Linked DNA regions of Stegostoma tigrinum. The protein of the gene in region 1 interacts with the protein of each later gene in a pairwise test. Links are inferred from orthologs where the notes say so. Each region holds a gene or a part of one and is shown on either strand. Other genes may lie near its edges.

Region 1 (10,584 bases):
TTGGGGCATTTAAAAGGTGTCAGACAAAACACATGCCACAAATCACCTCTAAGTATAAACAAACATACTTGAAACATTTCACACCGCAGCTTCGTGGGTCAAACAATCTAACAGAAAATTCAAATCACGTTTAAAGCTGTGCATTATTCTATACCTGCTATATTAGCTGTGTTGTTTTCAGGAAATAATTTAGTTGACTGACTTCTATTTCAGGCTATCCCAAATCTTCAATAAATTCAGAATGTAGTCTTTTCAGTTAACATTTTACAGAAAGACCACAATCAACAGAATGGAAAATCTGATGCCAAAGGAGGTTACAGAGTGGCAAAGGACACGTCCAGAAAGGGTTCTAAGATAAGGGCAAGAATTTAACATTTTAGATGCTGGCAGATTGGAAATTAATAACCCACAATCAGAATTATGGGAAAAAACATCAAACTCCTATGCATAATTAGGGATGCAAAATTCAAATACTGGTAAAACAAAAATGGGAGGCCATGAGCACAACTCTGCCTCTTGAACCACTGGAGTCATATTGTATGGTTGTGGCAAAACATCTGGTAAGTGTGAACCAAGTTCAAGTTCCAAGATCAAATGAAAGGCAATCTTACCCAGATGAGACATAAGGCAGTAAATCAGAGTTCTCTGACTTAGTGATTTTGCGCTAAAACTGCTAAGTGGGGCTAATTAGGATCAACTAAAAGCAAGTACTGGACATGCTGGAGAGCTGAAATAAAAACAGAAAGCAGAAGTCCAATATGACTCAAAACATTAACTGTGTTTCTCTCCAGAGATGCTGACAAACTGCCTAGGTTTTTTCTAGCACTTTCTGATCTTATTTCCAATGAGGTTCAAGTTTGCTTGAACAAATCTCCCAACATTCTCGGAAGGGGAGCAACAGGTTGTAAACAATTCCTTCATTTTACTAAATAAATGGATCAAAACTTCACCCCTACTTGAGCAAATATTCTGGAAGATCAATTTTACTTATGAAAGCTCACAATCTCATTTTGTTTTTGTTCTGAAGTTGCTCACTTTATTTACTGCACATAAAAGACAAAACAACTTCAAGAAGAAGTATATTTTTTAATGACCAGATGGCACAAGACTGTCAGTCACATTCAAATGATATTAAAGGGTGCTGTTACATATCAGCCGGACTGAGTTCAGAATTTAAATAGGACTTGAGGAGTACTTCTGCTTTTGAGGTCAATCTACCAAGTACAACAGTTTACTTCCAAACAATAAAGAAAATTGAAAATAAAAACAAAAAACAAAGCACTTTGATAGTCAATGATATTTGAATCGTCAGTGGGAACTAACCAGGTCTTTTAAAACACATTTCATCAACAAAAACTAGTTCTTGCCCATTCTCTAAGGCCATCTGAACAGTGTTTTATAAAACAAATTACACAATACAGCTTCAGGACAAAGAAACAAAGGAATCAAGGCCTTGAGGGGGAGGGGGAAGTGACAGGCAAAGCACAAGTCACGACAAAAGAGAGAATCCAACCAAGAATATACTGAAAATTGGTTCCTAAAACACTGCTTTTTAAAGTATATTTCAATCACAAAAGAAACACAGTTTCACAGGAATTTTACACTGAATTTTGACTAAAAAGAGATATTTAGGAATGATCTGGGCTGCCATTTAAACAAGCAGAGACTTCCCCCACTGAAGGACTAAGATTGTAGAATATAGTGACACGAATATACGAGGCCATGCAACATATACTCCTGGTATAAGGGAGCAAGTAGGGAGAAAAATGGCAAAAGACAGTGTGTCACAGCAAGCAAAGACATCATTAGTCCTTAAAATACTAAAAAGGAAATCAAGATCAAAGCAATCAGAACCTCTAGCAAGGTGCAAACAGTGCAGCAGTTGACCCTAAGTACGACCGTTATAAAATTCACTAAATTGGAGTTCTCCTTTTATTATTAAAGGAAAAATTGATTCCACAATATTTTACAGTTTGTTCACTGAGCTCTCATTTTGGCCTGGAGCATATCTGCGTAAAAGTGCGTGATTCATTTCCTGAAACGACACAAACCTTAATCATTGTTCATAAACAGGACTAGCCAAAATTTGGAAACAGTTTTAATGTGAATTTAGGAAGAGGCATACAGTACCGCAGAAAGAAATCAGAGAAAATGTAAAAATATGGTGTTCATGAAAATTCACCCCACATCACCTCACTCATTTTCAGGGCAGGATGATTTCAGTGCAGTGACAGCAATTGTAAAATAGGAAAAAAAGTGCCTGGAAAGTCTCACTATCAGAACAAGGGCTTTCAGCGGTAGGAGAGTAGTTCTGGAAAATTACCAATTCCAAGGTTCTTCTTAGCACTCTAAGAGGCAACACTATCACTGCATTTATGTTACAGCAGTACAAGGGAAGTCACAGTAGCTATCTAGAACGGCATCCAGTGAAAGAAGATACTTTTACACATCAACATGCTTCTTGATTTATTTTAGAATATTTAAAACCCATAACTGATTAATTTCCCCCTAAAAGTTGATACAAATTTTGTTAACGTTGAAATTAGCATAACACATTTAGGACTTAAGAATCAACATTCATTGTAGGAGTGAAACTGATAAGACAGTGACTCTACTAACATTGGTATAATTATTGAAAATATTTAATTGCTGTTCCACTACTGTTTTCGTTGTCGGGCTAACTGCTACTGATGGTATACAAAACAATTATTTTAATTATCACAAATAGTCGAATGGATATCAGTTTGCGCAGTTCTGTTGGTTTGCACAGCTGATTGGTTCAACATAAAGGTTAAGCTCTCCCACATGGAAGCAAGTTGCTATTTTAAAATACAGTGATAAAAAACATCCGATGCTGGAAAATACAGACCATCAGCATCTGCGGTATTTTGCTTTTGTGTTAAAAGACTTCATCCTTTTCAAATATTTAACTTTCATTATCTTCCATTCCAATGATGGACTCAATTTAATAAAAGATCAAACTGATTCAAGCAAGAATTGAAAACAACCAAATCTTAGAAACCTCATATGCAATTGTTACTCCAACTGTTGTCAGTGCATTTCGAGAAGCACACAGTCAAGATGTTGACACCAGGTTTTCTGCTGACAATGAAAAGGCTGGATTTTGGAAATGAACGATCTATACACTGGAAATGTGATGCTAACTGTGCTTTAAGATGACACTGACAGCAGTCCGATATGCGGAAGCCCATCATCATAAATTCAAGTTACAAACCTGTTACGGCTCATCCACATGTATTTGCTCCTTGATGCTCCACATTTAAATGATTAATTGCTTTTTCATAAACAGATTTACAGATAAATTACACTCCCTAACTCCAACCAAAGGGCAATCACTCTTGCTTGTATGAAAACAATGGATATTCCCAGATCCTGTTTAACGATTTTCACCAGAAACATGTCCGATTGTTTACCAACCTCCCACAATTCACTACTTTAGCACTAACAAAACAATTACTTTGAAGCATCCCTTCAACATACAGCACTATAACACCACTTGGTAACTGACAATTTGTTTTACATTCACATTACTGAGAAACATTGAAGATTTCAACCACTTCCTCTCAGATTTCCCACAGCTTGTATTTCCCAGGAGCATTACTTCATAGATCAGCTGTGGTTTTGTTTTAAAAGAAACAGCTTCGCTGGTTACGCTTCTCGTTCATGATTTCTTTGTTGCTGGGTTGAAATGACTGATATCCTATCCTTTGATTGATGGAACAGTCCATCTGTTCTGGTGAAATGAACCCTGGACATTATCTAACAGTCAGCTCTTTCCATATGTGATTCCTGAGAATCATAATCTTCCCAAGGAGCATCTTGTGGATATGGAGATTGACTATGTGAATGACAGCTTTTCTTTCTTAACTATTACCGTGTTCTTTTCCACGGGGGCCAGTGACACAAGACTAAATATGTTGCTCACACTATTTTTCAGCCGTGCTGTTATGAAGACTATTCTATCTCTTATTTTGTTCCTAAAATCCACTCTCAGTTCTTACCCAGGTATATGTCTCCGAAGGACCCGCTGCCGATTTTCCTGCCGAGTCGGTACCTGTTTCCCACTCTGAGTTCCATGGTGGGTTTCGCCTGGTGCCCACTGTGTGAGTTTGATTTTAACCCGGGTTACTCAGAGAAACTCTATTTCTCTCCCTCTGTGTGTGTGTGTGTCTGTCTGTTCTCAGTCTCTCTCACAGAGGGATTTTCACCAACACTTTTCTCGCTTCTTTCCAAATGCACCCCGACAATATCCACACCAGACGACACGTTAAACGCCGTAGATTATGCTCCACCAAATTTTATTGTCATTCTGGCCGCCTGCACGCAGGATTACATCGGATTCGAGTGACTCTCTCTCCTTTCTCCTTCCTCGGCTCTAGCTCGCCATTGCCGGACTGCGAACGGTCTGACATCACATCCGTTGTGTGACGTCACTGGACAGGGTGGTGCGACTGTCGGTGACGCCATACACATTGAGTTCCTGCAGTGGGAATCATCCTAATGTCCTCCTCTGTACACCTACAGAGAAAGCTAATGCCCCATTGCTTAATATTAACAGGCAATAGTTTTCAAGTAAGTGCATTTACCAATTGGTAATGACAGACAATTGCCCCTTGTATGGGTCATAAAGCTGTTGCCTTGACAAAGCAGATGTAAATATTGAAGTCTTAAATAAATTTTGCCCCATGGTGTATAAAAGTAGAAGTGATTATCCAACAGGGGAAAACAAACAAAAAAAACACTTTTTCCACATCTGATATTTTACATTTTATTCCACACCCACAAGGAAAATCCAATTTAATGTGAATGATGCATACTGTTTGAGTCATCTGGAATACTTAAACATGGAATTTCCTTCAGTATGAGCAGTTACTTCATTTCCAAGTATTTTACTGGTTTTGTCCTTGTACTTTAGCACATCAATAAATAAACCATATAACTCTGCAGAGATAGCTAGAACTGCAGATGCTGGAGTCAAAGACAACAGTGTGGAGCTGGAGGAACACAGCAGGCCAGGCAGTATTAGAGGAGCAGGAAAGTTGACTTTTCAGGTTGGAACCCTTCTGCTGCTCGTCTGATGTTGCCTGGTCTGCTGTGTTCCTCTAGCTCCACACTGTTGTCTCACATAACTCTGCAATTATTTTAGGATATATTATCATAAAGGCATAAGACAACTTGGAATAAGAACCAACCATTCTTTCCAGCTTTACAAATGAGTGCTTGTACATAATTCTCAAAAAGGTACCAGGCAGGTTCTGCAAGTAGTCAGGAAGGCAAATAGAATGTTTTTCATTGCAAAGGGGATAGAGTATATAAGTAGGGAAGTCTTGTGATAATTGTACAGAGCAGTGAAATTGCACAGGGAGTGGTGAGTATAGTTTTGGGCTGCTTACTGAAGATGGACACTTTGAAAATAATTCAGAGATGGTTAACTGGACCGATTTCTTTAATAAAGACATGTTGGAGAACATTCCTCCATCTACATCAACAGAGCAGAGGTCAAGAGGGTTGAGAGCGTCAAGTTCCTGGGAGTGATGATAACTGCCAACCTGTCCTGAACTTCCCACTTGGATGCAATGGCCAAGAAGGCACAACAACACCTATTCTTCCTCCGATAGCTTAGGAAATTTAGCATGTCTGTAAGGACCCTTAACAACTTTTATGGATGCACCATAGAAAGCATACTATCCAGGTGCATAACGGCCTGGTATGACAACTGCTCTGCCTACAGAAGATGGTGTGTGCAGCCCAGACCATCACAGAAGCCAACCTTCCATCTATGGAGATAACAAAGTGTGGAGCTGGAAGAAAACAAGCAGGCCAAGCAGCCTGTTAGGAGCACAAAAGCTGATGTTTCAGGCCTAGACCCTCCATCGATGAATTCCATTTACACTGCTTGTTGCTGTGGACAGGCTGCTGACATCACCAAAGATCCCTCCAACCCAGGTAATGCTCTCTGACAACATCTTCTATCAGGTAGAAGATAGAGAAGCTTGAACACACATACCAACAGGTTCAGGAATAACTTCTTTCTTGCCATTATTATACAGATGAATAGGCTCTCTAACTTCAAATAATATTGACCTTACTTCATGCACCTCCTGTGGAGTGTAACTCTCTCTGTCCAAGCACCCTATGATCTGTATGTCTTTGCTTACTATTATCTGCCTGTACTGCTCGCAAACAGAGATTTTCACTGTATTTAGGTACATGTGACTACAGTAAATCAAATTATGAGGAAAGTTTGGACAGGTGAGCCAATACCATTTTGAATTTGGAAAAATGCAAGGCGATCTTGTTGAAAAATCCTGATGGGGTTTGAAAGGGATGAGAGATGATTCGCCTTGTGGAGTAATTTATAACTAGGCGCACAATTTAAAGGTAAGGTTATCCCAATTCAAACAGCAATGAGAAGGACTTTCTTTTCTCAGATGGTCATTAAACTCTGGAATTTGCTTTCACAGAGAGCTGGAGCACTAACTATATTCAAGTCTAAGTTAGATCAACAAGGAAGATAAGGATCATCAGAAGCAGGAAGAAAACTGGGCCACATTCAGATTAGCCGTGATCTTATGAATTGGGGAACTAGCTTGTTGGGCTGAATGGTCACTCATATTCCAATTTCTTATGATCTTTGCATCTGGCTACTCTATCAGGTCCTGTAAAAGTATTCTCCTAAGCAAAGATAACTGAAGGTTCATTTTAGTTCATCTATCATAGGTACGTTGGAATAAATTCTAAGTAAATCCATTTGGTTGTCGAAATTATACCAAGCAGCCTTGATAGTTGCCTTCTTGATTTAAACAGAATCTACTTATATTATGACCCAACTTTCTAATCCATCTTATTCTATTTTGAACAAAGTAATCATTCAGCCCTTGGCATCCTTGCCGATATTCCTTCCAGCTTATGTGTTCATTGGTCTGAGATTCCCACATGTCAGTAGAGATGTAGTGCTCCCTTTCCCCTCCAAGTGATAGCTTAACATTGCAGAGCTTAGAATACAAAAATTTATTTACAGAGTCTTTTGCCTAGTACGCAGACAATGCGGCCTGTCCATCACAGCTGGTCATGCGTGACTAGACTCTTGATACTGGGGATATTGGACTGGGGGAGGATACTCACATTGAAATACAGGAAGGTGGGGACCATGGTTACTCTACAGACCATGAGCTTGATGCTGGATTTCAGGCCTTGGACTTCAAACACTCTGTTCCTTAGGCACCCAGAGGCTGCACTAATGCATTAGAGTCGATGTTGGATTCTATCTTCAATATCTGCTTACACCAAGAAAAGGCTCCAAAGTTATGGGAAATGATCCTCACCATTCAGTGACTCGCTGTGGATTTTGATAGTTTGGGGACTATGATGTGTGACAGAAGTGGAATGGTAGAGAACCTTTGTTTTCTGTATGTTTAACCTGAGGCCCATTTTCTCACATACTTTGGTGAATGCATTGACCATGATTTGTAGCTCAGCCGCTGCGTGTGTCCACATGCGAGCATCGTCTATGTACCGCAGCTCGGTGACAGAAGTTGGGGTGGTCATGGTTCTGATTTGGAGTCATTGAAAGTTGAGCAGTTTCAAACTCATCCTATAGGTTGGCCACACTTGTCAAGGAGCTTCGTGGAGATGTGGTGGACTGTTGAGAAGACAAAAATGGAGAAAAGCATTGGTGCAATAACAGAGCTCTGTTTAACCCCAGGTGGCACTTGTATTGGATGAATGGTGTATCCATTTCTGAGGATCATGATCTGCATGTCATCATGAAGCAAGCAACAAATTTCTGCAGACAGCTGAATTTGATGAAGATATTCCACAATCCAACATGGTTGACTGAGTTGAAAGTCTTTGTGAGATCGAAGAGGACCATGTATAGAGGTTGGTGCTGTTTCCTGCACTGTTCTCGGATTTGCCACACGATTGTCGAACGGTGGGAAAACAATTATTTTTCATCTGAGGTTCATATTATTAACTTTATATTCATGTTTGCTAGGTATTTGCTTTCTTTTGAATGAAATTATTGGCTTGCATCCATATTCCTCTCAAGTTTTACCAAACTATGTCTTATCTCCTCCCATCCAAATTTTCTGGATTAGAATGATTTTGTGACACGCCCTAACTTGTTTTGTAATTATTGTATTATTTTATCTGGTGATTAGTAAAAAATTATGAAGACAGGAAATCATATTCATTGGATACCATGAACAAATAGACAATAAAGCTGAGAATTGTTGAGCCATCTTATTCTTTTAACACTGGTAATAGAAATCTCTCAATTGCCCAAATGATAAATTGGGCAGAAGAATCAAATCAATTAAATGCATAATTTTTATTAATATATAGTAATTTCTCTCAATGGAAGGAAAATATCAAGAAGATATGCAAATTGTAAAACAACAAACAAATACCATATTGCAATTTATGTTGCATTTAAACAAAATGTCAAGAAGAAGAGGTTGCCTGATGGGAAAGAAATAAGACATGATCAAGCCAGGACATGGTTATAATTGATTAAAATAACTGAAGGTTCAGAACATCCAAGATCAGGCAATGTCTTTCACCCTCACTCCTTTCAAGACCAGATGCTGGGCCTTCCACTCTCTTTCTAGGAAAGGCTCAACACCTTCCAACAGTTATGCTCCCAACCCTTTGCTTCCTTTCCCAAATTCTGTGGTATATTTGGTCTCTTTATTGCATTTTGTCCAGTTTTGACTTGTTTAAAATTTCTCAACCAGAAATGTGCTCAGCGGGCTTATGTTTGGTCTTCATTTTCTCTGTTTAGAAAAGTATCAGAACATTAGAGTATTTGTGGAAGTTTGATGGCTTTGTCCAATTGTGAACCATGATAAATTTTCAGTTTTCCTCTGGTTGACAGTATTGGCAGACTACTTTCTGAGAAAATGGGTTAATTGTAGGAAAGAAAATAACAAAAGGCAGTCATAGGTATGATGTAATTTGACATGTTGCTCAATTGAGGTAAATTTCTGATGAGAAAAGGAACATAAAATGTCACAAGAATCCAATACACATACATATAATTTTATGTTTATGGTAAATTGGTGAATATGGCTGTGTTTCATTTAATACCATATATTTTGCCAAAACATAACACACTCAACAAGTTTATACAATGTTACTAAGCTTATAGGGTCGATTAATTTCATGTTTTATGTATAAACAGTCAATTATATCTCAGCTGTCATTCAAAGTCACTTTTCCTTCATTGACATTTAAATTATGTCCTTAAGGTAGATTCACAGTTTGTGTAATTTTACTTTAAAATACCCTGAATACAGGCATTCCCTAGCTGAAGTTTGCTTTAATAGCTTTGAGTTCCTCTGATGTGTCAAGGAATATTATTGTAACTTTTCAACTACATTGTTGGGAGTAAAACAATTTATTTTTGCTTGCCACCACCAGAAATGCCATTTCTGATACTTTGATAACAAAGTGTGAAGCCGGATGAACACAACAGGCCAAGCAGCATCTCAGGAGCACAAAAGCTGATGTTTCGGGCCTAGACCCTTCATCAGAGAGCTCTCTGATAAAGGGTCTAGGCCCAAAACATCAGCTTTTGTGCTTCTCAGATGCTGCTCGGCCTGCTGTGTTCATCCAGCTCCACACTTTGTTATCTTGGATTCTCCAGCATCTGCAGTTCCCATTATCTCGGATACTTGGACCAGGCTTTGTCAATTAGTGCCAGGTGAGGTGGTGTTCCATGGCTTTGTGTCCATGATCACTTTGCATCATCACTACCCTCCTGGCCCTTTAATAAACTGATGCCCTAGTCAAGGCAGCAGCACCTCCCAACATGGTTGCCACCTCTGTTTGTCACTGGCACCAGACAGGCTGTTCCCACATTCCAGATCTGCTTGGCACCTCTAATTGAGCACTGAGCTCACCTCCTCTCCAATCAGTCTGTTTACATTTAAAAACAGCATCAGGCACACAGGCAGGACCAGAAATTCACCAACTTGTCAGGGGTTTGCTGATTCTATTTTGAAAATTCAGCTTGGGGGCTCATAAATCTGTTAATAGGGATAATAAAGCCTGTTTTAGGACCTGAGCCGACAATAGCTATTTTGAATGCAGTAGGCATTAGGATTATGTGGTCTGTATGCGACGTACACATTGATGCTTATTGGGACTGCTACAAATCAGAGGGGTCCAAAATTTTTAAAAACCCAAAATAAGAAACCAGCAGGAGGAGTGCTCAGATTTTACACACACAAGAAAAAAATGTAGACTGCTGCATATCTGCTTCTCCTGTTTGGCTGCCTCCATTCCCAGGCTCAAATTAGGCCTTTGCCCTCCTGATCTCACAGCTGCATGAGACAATTGAGTTCTCCCTTGAAAATGACTGGTGCCCTCAGCATGCTGGTATAGTACGCATGAGGACAGCGGACCACGTTGGTTTGCTCCTGCCATTGTCCTCACTTGGTAAGTGCAGCATGAACTGCACCAGATCCACTGCTTGTTTCAGTTTGATCATATCTCTAAACTCTTTCGTTCTCTAGAATCCCTTTGCTTCCAGTGCAATTTATTTTATGAGCCCTGTAA
Region 2 (10,760 bases), on another chromosome or scaffold:
AGAAGGAAGAAGAAACCAGCTGACTTTTTCCAATACTTTTCCCACCTTTGGTCTAGAACACATCTGGACAAATAAAGAAAAAGTGCCACTTTTAACTTATAAAGCAAAGCAAAGCAAATCTAAAGTGATGGAAGCACTATTCTTATGGCTAACTGTTTCAGCGCTTGTTTAGCTCGAACGATCATCAAAAGTATCAAACCAAACCTCAACAATTAATGAACCAAGTCGCTTGACAAATCACATTTTTTGAAATGTATTCAGTGTGATTCCACAATGAAACATCTGACAAGTCTAATTCCATTATGAAGTTCAATATCACTTGGTGATAATATCAGCAGGCTTTACAGGCATTGACAGACAAACATTGCATTTTTGAACAGCCCTTTAAAATGCTGGAGCAGTAATAGTACTTCTACTGCTCCAAATACATTTGTACAGTTTCCTACCTTTTGCTGCTCTCTAATGAATCCAAAAGTAGAGCTGAATCTTTTCCATTTTGACTGGCGCTACTGCTCGAGCTTTCTGAAAATTCATTCACATTTGAATCAGTCCCACTTGAGCCATTACTTTTCATCTCCACATCATCATGCAGTTGCTGTACTTCTCGATCTTGTCTCTGATCCTGAATATTGGCACTACTTGAATGCAGGACCAACTCAGCCTCTTGGAACCCAGATTCTGAATAGGTAGCCATAGTCTGATGTCAGTCTGAAGAACAAGAATAAGAAATGTATTTATCAAAACCATCAGAAATACACTGGCCAATTACCTTCTCCCGGAAACTTGACAGAATTTATGCACTTTCCTTGCCAGCCGTAAAAATAGAAAGCAACTAAAGTTTACTTCTAAGATTAAGGATGACTTGTATTCGATCAGAAAAGTCAAACCTAAGAAGTCAGCTATCCCCCTACTTTTATCTCTTCAAACTATTGATGTGTGTGATCGGTAGCTTTTGATTCTTACCAAATACCGTAAAACCACCATAAAACACAATCTATTTCAAAACAATGAAGAATATTACTAATTCCAAAACAGTTTCAGGCACAAAATCTGGAAACAGGAATAGGGTTGATTGGGGAGGAACACTATTCCCAATGGGACAGAGTGGAGTGGGATCGCACGTGCACAAATGTTGTCAATCAATGGATCACTGGATACCAAACATTAAACAAGCAAAAGATCAGAAAAAATGCCTCATCTAATTTCATAATAGGTTTCAACTCCACAGTAGTGGACTACCCGGTTCCAGTGCGACATATCCTAATTTACTACAACATCCATCCTTGTGATCAGTTGCACTGCTTATATTTGTCCATGTTTTGGGAACTTATTATAGTGTGGTCCCTTTCATTTGGAACAGATATGAGTCTGCCCAATTCATTTTGTACCACATGGAATTTTCAGTCCACCATGGTGGTGTACAGGATTCTCCTTAACAGGACAAAGCAGGCAAAAAGTCCTCATGTCTACAGTGCAGTTTAAAAATTTAAAAATGCACATTGAGTAGAACATTTTCTTGGATTTCAAGCATTCAGTTCAAGACAAGATTGTTCCACTCACATTACAGCACAAGATGAGCTTCTCAGTAAAGTGTGCCTGTCCTGGTGAAAATCCGGAGCTATTTACTCAACCTGCATATCTCGACCAATTTCTAGAGTAGCTTGCACTTTTCAGTTTCAAACTAATATTTATTCATGTTAAACGTGGAAAGGTCACAAACTAAGGCCTTCTCATCATAATAGACTGAGGACCCGAACCTGTGTAGACTCCTTTGGGCTGTATATAGAGAATGTTTAACATGAGAACAAAATGTATATTCTTGCAATTCTCAAAACTTGTAATTTTATTTAATTTGTTTAAAACTTTTCAGCGCCACATTACTCTCCTGGGAAAATGAATTTTACCTGTCAAATCTGAACTGATCATGTAGTTTTGAAAAAATATCAAGTTTATTTGTTTAGTAAGTTACTTTTTAATTACTTCCCTTTAAAATAATATTAGTAGCAAGAAACAAATGTAATCTGAATTTTAAACGCTGGTTCAACAGCCCAGTTAAGAGGAGATGTTGGATTAATAGCAACCCCTTTGTTTCAAAGGTATTGGCTAATGTGCTGTAGTCACGGTTTCAAATCTAGTACAGTGCGAATTTAATAAATCTGGAATATAACTAGTTTCAGTAAAGGAGACAATGGAAACAATATACATGGTTTTAACAATAATCATTTTCACAAATATCCTTTTATATGAAGGAAATTTTGCATCATCACCTGGTGTGGCCTTCATGTGACTCCAGGCCCACCGCATTGATTGACTCTTAACTGGTCTCTGAAATGACCTAGCATGACATTCAGTTCAAGGCCAACAAATTCTAGTGGCACCCACATTCGAGAGAAGGGCAAAAGAAAATAAAAAAGTTTTAAAGAAATCAAACATGCAGATGAACCAGGTAGTTCAGTTCACTGCTGTTTGAAGCATAGATATTTCATAAGTTACTACATTTATTCTTTTATGACAATTAAAAAAAATGGATGTATTCCAGGCATTTTATTTTGCTGAACTAGTTCATTTTCGGGCACCTACAAAATAATTAAAGCTCTCAAACTTATGCAGCAATATGCAATGGTTCATCTTTAAGTCTAACTAGTTCACCTCAAAATAGACCACTGATGCAAAAATCATTTCTGGCCCAACAACCCAGAGATGTTTTAAATTAATTTATATTTCCTGCTTCAGCAACAGAAGTTGAACATCAACATCACAACGTAAAAGAGAAGTCATTCCCAACAGATCTATGGACTTTACAGTTAGTTACCTACAGTGACCGTTATAAAGATAAAAGAAAGTTTGACATTTTGGGTATGTAACCTTTCATCACAACCAGCCATTCGATTAAACTTTACATCTGAAATGTCATGGTCTGGCTTTCATTTTTACAGTTGCAGACTGTCCTGCTGAATGTCTTCTTTTAAAATTTTTGTAAATCTGGGATTATTAAAATACAAGTGCACTTGGTTTGACTATGATAGTTTCAACAAAATCTTTTCTCCGCTATCCCTCTCCATGACCCAAATAAGCAGCAAATCACAGTCACGTTCAAAACAGTATCATGCAGATCAAAACAGATTTTTGTTTACACGTAAAAGCACTCCACAGGCGGAACATTTTCAGAAATCAAGATCAACAACAACATTTTACCATGACAGATTAGGACAAGAACAAAGTATTGGGACAATGATACAACACACATATTTGATCAATTGGAAACTGACTTGTGTGAACCTGACATTAATTCTAATATTTGGAAAACACAGGAAAACAGTAAACGCTATGAACAAGATTTAGCATAATCTTCTGTTTTGGCAACAATAAACTGTAATCGGGTGTAACTTTAAATACTGACTAGTTTTTAATACAATCGTAGAGAAAACTGCCACGCTGATACCCACCAAAGTGTGTATGATGACAACAATATGTTACATTCAAATAAAAGCATAACAATGCATGTAAATCATACACATCCATCCAAACACAATCTTATCCTCTGGATTAAGTTCTAAATCATGGAGATTAACTGATTCTGTTAAATTAATTTAATTGGCATTTTGCTCTGGGTGTCTTGACTAATCATACATCATATTGAACTTAAATTTATAAAAATAAGTTGCTTCGTTCTGAGGATCCTCAGATCTGATAATAATTGCTGGATACAAAAATCACTGGAAATCATATGCAAACAATTTGGATTTGGAACTATAACTCCAAACTGACAAACTTCATAGATCTACTAGATTTCAGGCATAAGTAATTCTAATTGCTATAATTTAACAGCAGTGAGCCTTCAGCTGTGAAAAATGCAACAGCAATTTAGGAGAAAGCAGCACAATAACTACATGTGCTTGATATTATGCAATTATCACATGTATGATTATTGTGATTTGGTCGTGGGGCATAACCCACCCATTTTCAACTTGTAGCATCAGGCATCCCCAAACGTTATTGGCCAAATATCCTCTTACTCCTGCACCCAACTGGGGAAGAGGAAGAGGAAGGGCAGTACCATCTAGCCCAATAAGATGCCGAATAGCCTCCTATGCCCTGTGGGTTCTAAGTGACCAAACTATCTGGTTGCCTGATCAGAAGATCTCTGGAATGGACTGAAATGGTTTCAAATGTAACAGACACACAGGAGAAAAAAAAACCTGACAGCTTAATAAAAAGCATCAAGTTAAAAAAAACAAACTGCGTAACACTAACCATAATTTTAGATTCAACAGTTGTAAACAAGAAAATCCTACACTTCGAATGAAAGGAATGTTGGTTCACAAGCACCACTAGATTGTTTCTTCCTGTCTTTGGTTGAAATTAACAAGAGCAGAACTTAACACATTGTAGTTCAAATAAAAACTTAGGGGTCACAGCTGATCCAAAAAAATTGCAACAACCTACAGGGTAGCTTCACCTTACCTGGGCGTGTGTGCTTCCAGACAAGCAAATGTAACCACTGCACGATTTTCCTCGGCTCGCATCAACACATTTCCCGAGCACTGATGGGATTATGTAACCGTTCTATAAAACACAGGGACCCAACCCATGTACTGAAGGCACGGACACCAAATACCTATCTGGTTGTACCGGACTTACTAATTTCATAAAGTGAAGGAAACACCAACAATCATCAGCTGCATAGTTAATTCGAGAATCTTGTGTGTCGGAAAATAAGAATAACTAATATTTCCACCAGCCCTCTCCCCCGAAGATCTGTACAAGCTAAGGTGAAGCATAGGGAAACACCTCACCTCAAACAGCGCTGATCTCCCTACTCGCAATACAGCGCGATCCAAGCTCACTTGCAATGTTGCACTTAGCTCGCGCGGCTGCACGCATCGGGGAACGTGACAAGTCCGGCCCTCGACTTCTCCCATTGGCTGGCAGCGCCCGTGTCCTGAGAGGCAGACCATTGGCACTTCAGGAGGCCTGGCAGCCAGCACGCTACCATTAGCCGCACTGGCTGTCAATCAGCCGCTTGCGCTACACAACCTTCACGTGGATCCCAATGTGTCTGTGCTCGGGCTTCTCTGCTCATGCAGAGCTACCTTTGTCATCTTTATTAATTGCGTTCTGCTCCGGCGCTGGCTGTGCAAGAGCATGCTTTATGCAAACGTGACTTGCACAAGGTGTGGCTTATGTCAGGCGGCTGGCAGTGCAATGAAAGGTGCACAATAGGAGAGAAAAACAAAAGCTGAGAATTGGCTGTGTAATGGCGAGTGCTGGTTACGCGTTTTAATGAAAAAGCAGAACAACAATATGCGACCAAGAAGTGATCCTCTGTGGGATGAGTTATCTACAATATATAATCACCATAGAAAGCACCGCACTGGTGCTGCTTTCCCCATAACTCAATCGATCGCCGTCTGAGTGTTAAATTGCTGCGTTTGCCCGGTGAAAACGAAACAATTTGAATTGTTACGAGCCACTATTTTGGGCCATGACTACCTTATTCATAATGTCATTATCTGACCTGACATAACTATCAGTTATCCTTAGAGGTTCAGATAAAAGCAATTGCAACTCGACTCTTACTCCTACAGTTTGTATTATTCTTAGAGCTTTGTCTTTTAAAAAAAAAACATTTTCTGACTTGTTTCTCTGCTTCATCCAATGTTCATTATACCCAATCTCCGTTCAATTTGACTCAATCACACCCCATGACCTGCGCTGTTTGCTCTACTTCCTTATTCTGAATTTGTTGTGGATAAGAACGATTGATCTTATGGTTCACAAGGGTACATGTTTCCTTTATAATTCAGAAGTTTTTCAATTTAACCCAAAATGGATTCAAGATTTGCTTGGCCTGCTGTGTTCATCCAGCTTCACACTATTATCATGGATTCAAGATGGTTTTTAAACACACAGAACAATCTATTTGGACTTCAGAACAAGTTAAAAACCAGAAAGTTCTGTATATAACAATGCTAGCAGGAATCCTGAACCCCACAGATTGATTTAGCATCTACATTTTTGTATTCAACCTTGGAAGATCTATCAAAGATAAATTTGGGTTCCATCCAAAAGTTTTATTTTAACAGTCTCTGTAGGAAGTGTAAGAAAGGTATTTTGATCACGAATGGTGTAATTTTTTTTGTATTGAAGTATTATGGTGACTTAGTATCTTGCCATATTATGTGGCAACAAGACATTGTTTAACTAATGAGTTTTGGCATGTACATAGTGTTCTGGTGAGGTATCTTCTCTTGTTTGGTGGAGGCCAAAGAATGCAGAATGTTCTTAAATTACTTCTAATGTACAATGCAAACAATTAAGGGCCATTGTTAAGCAAAGGTATTCTGTTCCGTCCAGAGTGCATGCTTCAGATTTTTGGAACATAATCTACAAGTGGAAACTCTCTTTGAAGAATACAAGGAAAGTGAATTTATGACATGTGGAATTGATTTGACTTTCTCCTCCCCCCCCCCCCCCCCCCCGCTACCCATCAACAGGTGTGTGAAGTTGAGGTGTATAAAAAAATCCCTACATAACATTGTCACCACCCTCCCTAAATAGTTTCCCATTTTAGAATGAAACAAGAGAAGCCTCGGAGAGCACACCTATCCTTGACTTAATTGAGATCCTTAATTTGGCAATTTAAAGATCAGTTTCCTCTAACTTCAATTTCAGGCAAGTGAGAAAAATTCAGGAGCAGGAGGGAAGCCATGTAAGAAATCACTTTGCTGACACCTCAGACTGGAAAATGTGTTGGGCGGGGGCAGCAGTGTGAAAGGACTTGAATCACTTTGTTTAACAGCCTCTTTTCCATGTTGGACACTTCTCCACATCCCAGGATCTGAGCCATCAGGAGCTTTCCCTCCATCAAGAACACCAACCTATTTTCCCCACCTGCTCAAACCTCTCCTCTTCTTCCCGCCATTAGATTATCTGCAACTGAACAAAGAATCTGCTAACAACTTTGGTCCCATTTCAGGTTACTGAACTGCCATTAGTAGAATCTAACTGCCGAGATTGGTAGCTCTGAGATGGAACTTGTCACCTGTGCAATCGGTGGGAATTCTAACCCCAGTTAATTACCCTTTCAACGTAGAAATACATTCCCTGCTGACTTTTCAGGTGGCCAGAGAAAAAATCCTGTCTTTTGTAAAATCCTAACAAATAGAAAACTGTCATTCAATATATTTTTAATATAAATCTCAATCATTGTTGCATGATTTGTCTATGCACATATACATACATACATATTACACATGTTATTTTATCTGTGTTTGTGCATCTAGAACAACTTGTGCAGCTGCTCCAACCACTGCTGGAGTACTCCTAGAGCAATTCACTCAGCGTGCAATCTGCAACTGTGGTGACCCATTCTGATTAAGCAGAGGATTATGGAAGATGCTGCCAAAAATGAAAAAGAAATGAATTAACATTTTTGATTCTTAAATTTGATTGCAGTGCTGGGCGAAGTTTGGCAGAATTCTCGCTGTCCAAATAGGAACTCACATTAGACGATGTAGTGTTGTTAGCCCCCTAATTCTTCGAGGAAAGACTAAAAGAAGGAGGAAAGAAGTGTACTACATTCTAGCCATTAATTTGATCTTTCAGGAAAAAAGTGGGAGAGAATGGTAATCAATGTGCCACTGAAATTTAGTATTTATCGCAGGAAGACAACCTGAAACTTACTGTACTCTTTGAAGAGGAGTTCAGACCTGATGATACCTTTGTTGGAGGGAACAGCATGGTTTAAAAAAAACAAAGATGCAGCTCAGTCAGTTCATTCTGCTGAGTTCCACCAAAAGGCAAAGACTTTGATTATCCTTTACTTACCTCTTTGAGAAACCAACAGGTTTTAACTGCAAATGTTTGACTCTACCTCGACTAAGGTGAAGCCAGATAAATTTGGTACTGCAGATAGTAGGACAGGAAAAGTATATTTCTCTTTTTATTCATTCATGAGCATTTATTGCCTCTAATTCCCCTTGAGAAGATGGTGGTGGGATTACTTCTGGATACACTGCATTATGAGAGGTGAATGCACTCCCAGAGTATTATTAGGTAGTCAGTTCCAAAATTTAGGACAATAAGTAATGACAAAAGATGCAATTACATGATGTAAAAACAGAAATTGCTGGAAAAGCTCAGCAAGTCTGGCAGCATCTGTGGAGAGAAATCACTGCTAACATTTCAGGTTGACTGATCCTTCCTCAGAACTAGTGCTGTGTTATTTGGAGGAGAACTTGTAGGTTGTGGTGTTCTATGCATAAAAATATGGAAGGTAGGAGCAGGAGTAGGCCATTCGACTCTTCAAGCCTGCTGTGCCATTTATTATGATCATGGCTGCTTCTGCTGCTTGGCTTAGAAATAGCTCTGTGTTGTTCAGCCATAAATTTCTGTCCTTTCCATCGTTTCTTTTATCTATGAACTGTTGCCACTCACCTCAACTCATATGTAATATGATGCATCTGTCTCATGGTCACCCTTGCCTTCAGTCAAACTTATAGTTCTGCTTTTTTGAGCCCTGGTGGAAGAAAAAAGTACAAAACACAAATGACAGGGGACAAGAAACAGAAACTATAAAGGAAGCCTGGAAATAAGAAGCACATTTCAGCCTTTCAGTCACAGCTGGAAGTATAGAAACCTCACAGGCGGGTTTTGACAGAATAAGAAATATCTTAAATTCATGTACTGACTCAATTTCATTAATGGCTGAACTGAGGGGAGACGTGAAGCTGGTAATTGCTTACATTGTGATTTTCCACAACTAACTCATTTACTTTTAGACTTCTAAGGCCTGTATGAGTGTAGCAAATATTACAGGACATAACAGTATAAGAACATGAGAAATGGGAGTGACCATTCAGCCCCTCAGGCTTTCTCCACCACTCAGTGAAATTATGGCTGAGCTAATTGTGTCCATAACCCCTCATGCCATTGTGGACCTCATTCCTTCTCAAGTTACACCACCAAACAAGGTTCCACCATGCATCTACACAAGTGCCCATACTTCAATTGATCCACTTAAAAAGTTATTGGGTTTTCACCTGATGAGTCAGCTCTCACTAACGAGGATGATCAGATACCACTGGCAGGGGCAACTGTGCAAAGTCTCCATTGGAAGGCATTATCCTAATCCAGCTCTGGTCAATTAGATACAGTGCCTCAGGTTCTTCATGCACAGCAAGAATCCTACAGGCACACATACTTGACAATTAATTAGACAAGATGGGTACAGAGATTTATGATAATGCCAAAAATAATTATCTGATCACCTTGTGTGCAAAAAAGCTCTATCTTTCTGATAGGGAGGAGCTGGAAGGCACAATTCAATAGTGAATAGTTTAACAGAACAACAAATTGCAAAACTGCCTGCCATGGTGAACATCACTACCTTCAAGAAAGATTCTTTGTAGGCTTGTGGAGGTCATGACCACAGCCATTGTAAACATTTATTGCCAAACCAGTATGCTGCTTTAAACAAAACATCGCATATCTTATCCATGGCTTCACACCCTATCACTGATCTGCACCAAGCTACTTGGAAGAAGGGTGACAGGAATGTTGTGGCACTGGGTAAGGAGGGAAATAATGGCAAAAGGGACATGGGAGATGCACTCAAAAGGACCCCACTTCTCAATATTGCACCACCAACTCTTGCACCCTCATTCAGCTTCTACTGTGTTCAGTCAGGTCTGGCCCTGCACAGATTTAGGTAGAATAATCTCAATAAAAATAACCTTATGTACAGAATAAATACACAGCATTCATTGCAAAGTAGTATCAGCCAGGCTGTGCCACAAGGCAGTAACTTATTGAACTTAGATGATGCAAATAAATTATGAAGTCAAAGCTAATTGAAGCTTCATGCTAAATACAGATGCAAAACAAACATTTGATATAAATGAATAAGTTCTCTGGTAATCTGTAATGGGGGAAAAAATCACACTGTTCTATTTTTAACATTTTGCTTCCTTACTGTACATGATTGCCATGTGATTTTTGTTTAATCTTTTAAGCATGTCAGAATTACAATGACTTCTTTGTGAGTTATCAAGGATAAATTCTGCAAGGCTCTGCTCCTGACTCAGTGGTCATGGCATCCAATTCATAATGCTAATAATTTTCCGTTGATTAAGATTAGTGGGAGCAAATCAATTAACGAAAATTTATTCTCAGAAAACCCTGGATCTCTCTGCCCCAGTATAATGTAGCAAAATTTGCCCTGTAGTATCATCTGATATATTGATAGAAATAATATAATTTGAGTGTTCATAATCTATTTTCTTGACCTGAAATGTGTACCAATCCATTAGCAAACATTGCCAGCAACAAACAATAATAAGTAGATGTTGGATACCCAGATTGCATTACAAGACAGGGTCAGGTAAAATATGACCTCAGGCAGTTACATGTTGAGTGGATTAAGTGGATTAAATATAATTCCCCTATAAATCTATTGCTGTGTTGGTGCTTTTTTTTGCAAATTTGTCATTTATGTCTAATTTCTGTTTCACTTTTGACTTCTAAGTAAACCTATCGGAACTGAATTCTTCCTTTGTAAATAGTGATTTAAACATTAGTGATTATGCTTTGATTAAAATCCCTCAATAAGATAACACAACAGCAATATTTTTTAACTGTAGATTTCGGCCTTATTCTGAAAGATATTTTCGTCAGCTGTTGTCTTAATTAGATACTGTTTAACCCCTACAGGTCATTATGCTAAGGATGCTGTTTCACTGTTCAAAGAGAGCATTTGT

What was found.
Region 2: the proteins of casein kinase I (region 1) and per2 interact in binary tests that used the Homo sapiens proteins (3 or more experiments, as listed by UniProt). The link is inferred for Stegostoma tigrinum from reciprocal best matches to the Homo sapiens genes CSNK1D and PER2.

The regions. Positions count from the first base shown.
Region 1 is NC_081375.1:27,797,449-27,808,032, forward strand, and holds the start of casein kinase I, read right to left. Parts: upstream 4,439-10,584; 5' UTR 4,099-4,438; coding exon 4,023-4,098; intron 3,558-4,022; exon of another isoform or gene 3,236-3,557; intron 1-3,235. UniProt on the Homo sapiens protein: Essential serine/threonine-protein kinase that regulates diverse cellular growth and survival processes including Wnt signaling, DNA repair and circadian rhythms. It can phosphorylate a large number of proteins.
Region 2 is NC_081367.1:19,822,014-19,832,773, forward strand, and holds the start of per2 (period circadian protein homolog 2), read right to left. Parts: upstream 4,868-10,760; 5' UTR 4,797-4,867; exon of another isoform or gene 4,465-4,796; intron 709-4,464; 5' UTR 695-708; coding exon 447-694; intron 1-446. UniProt on the Homo sapiens protein: Transcriptional repressor which forms a core component of the circadian clock.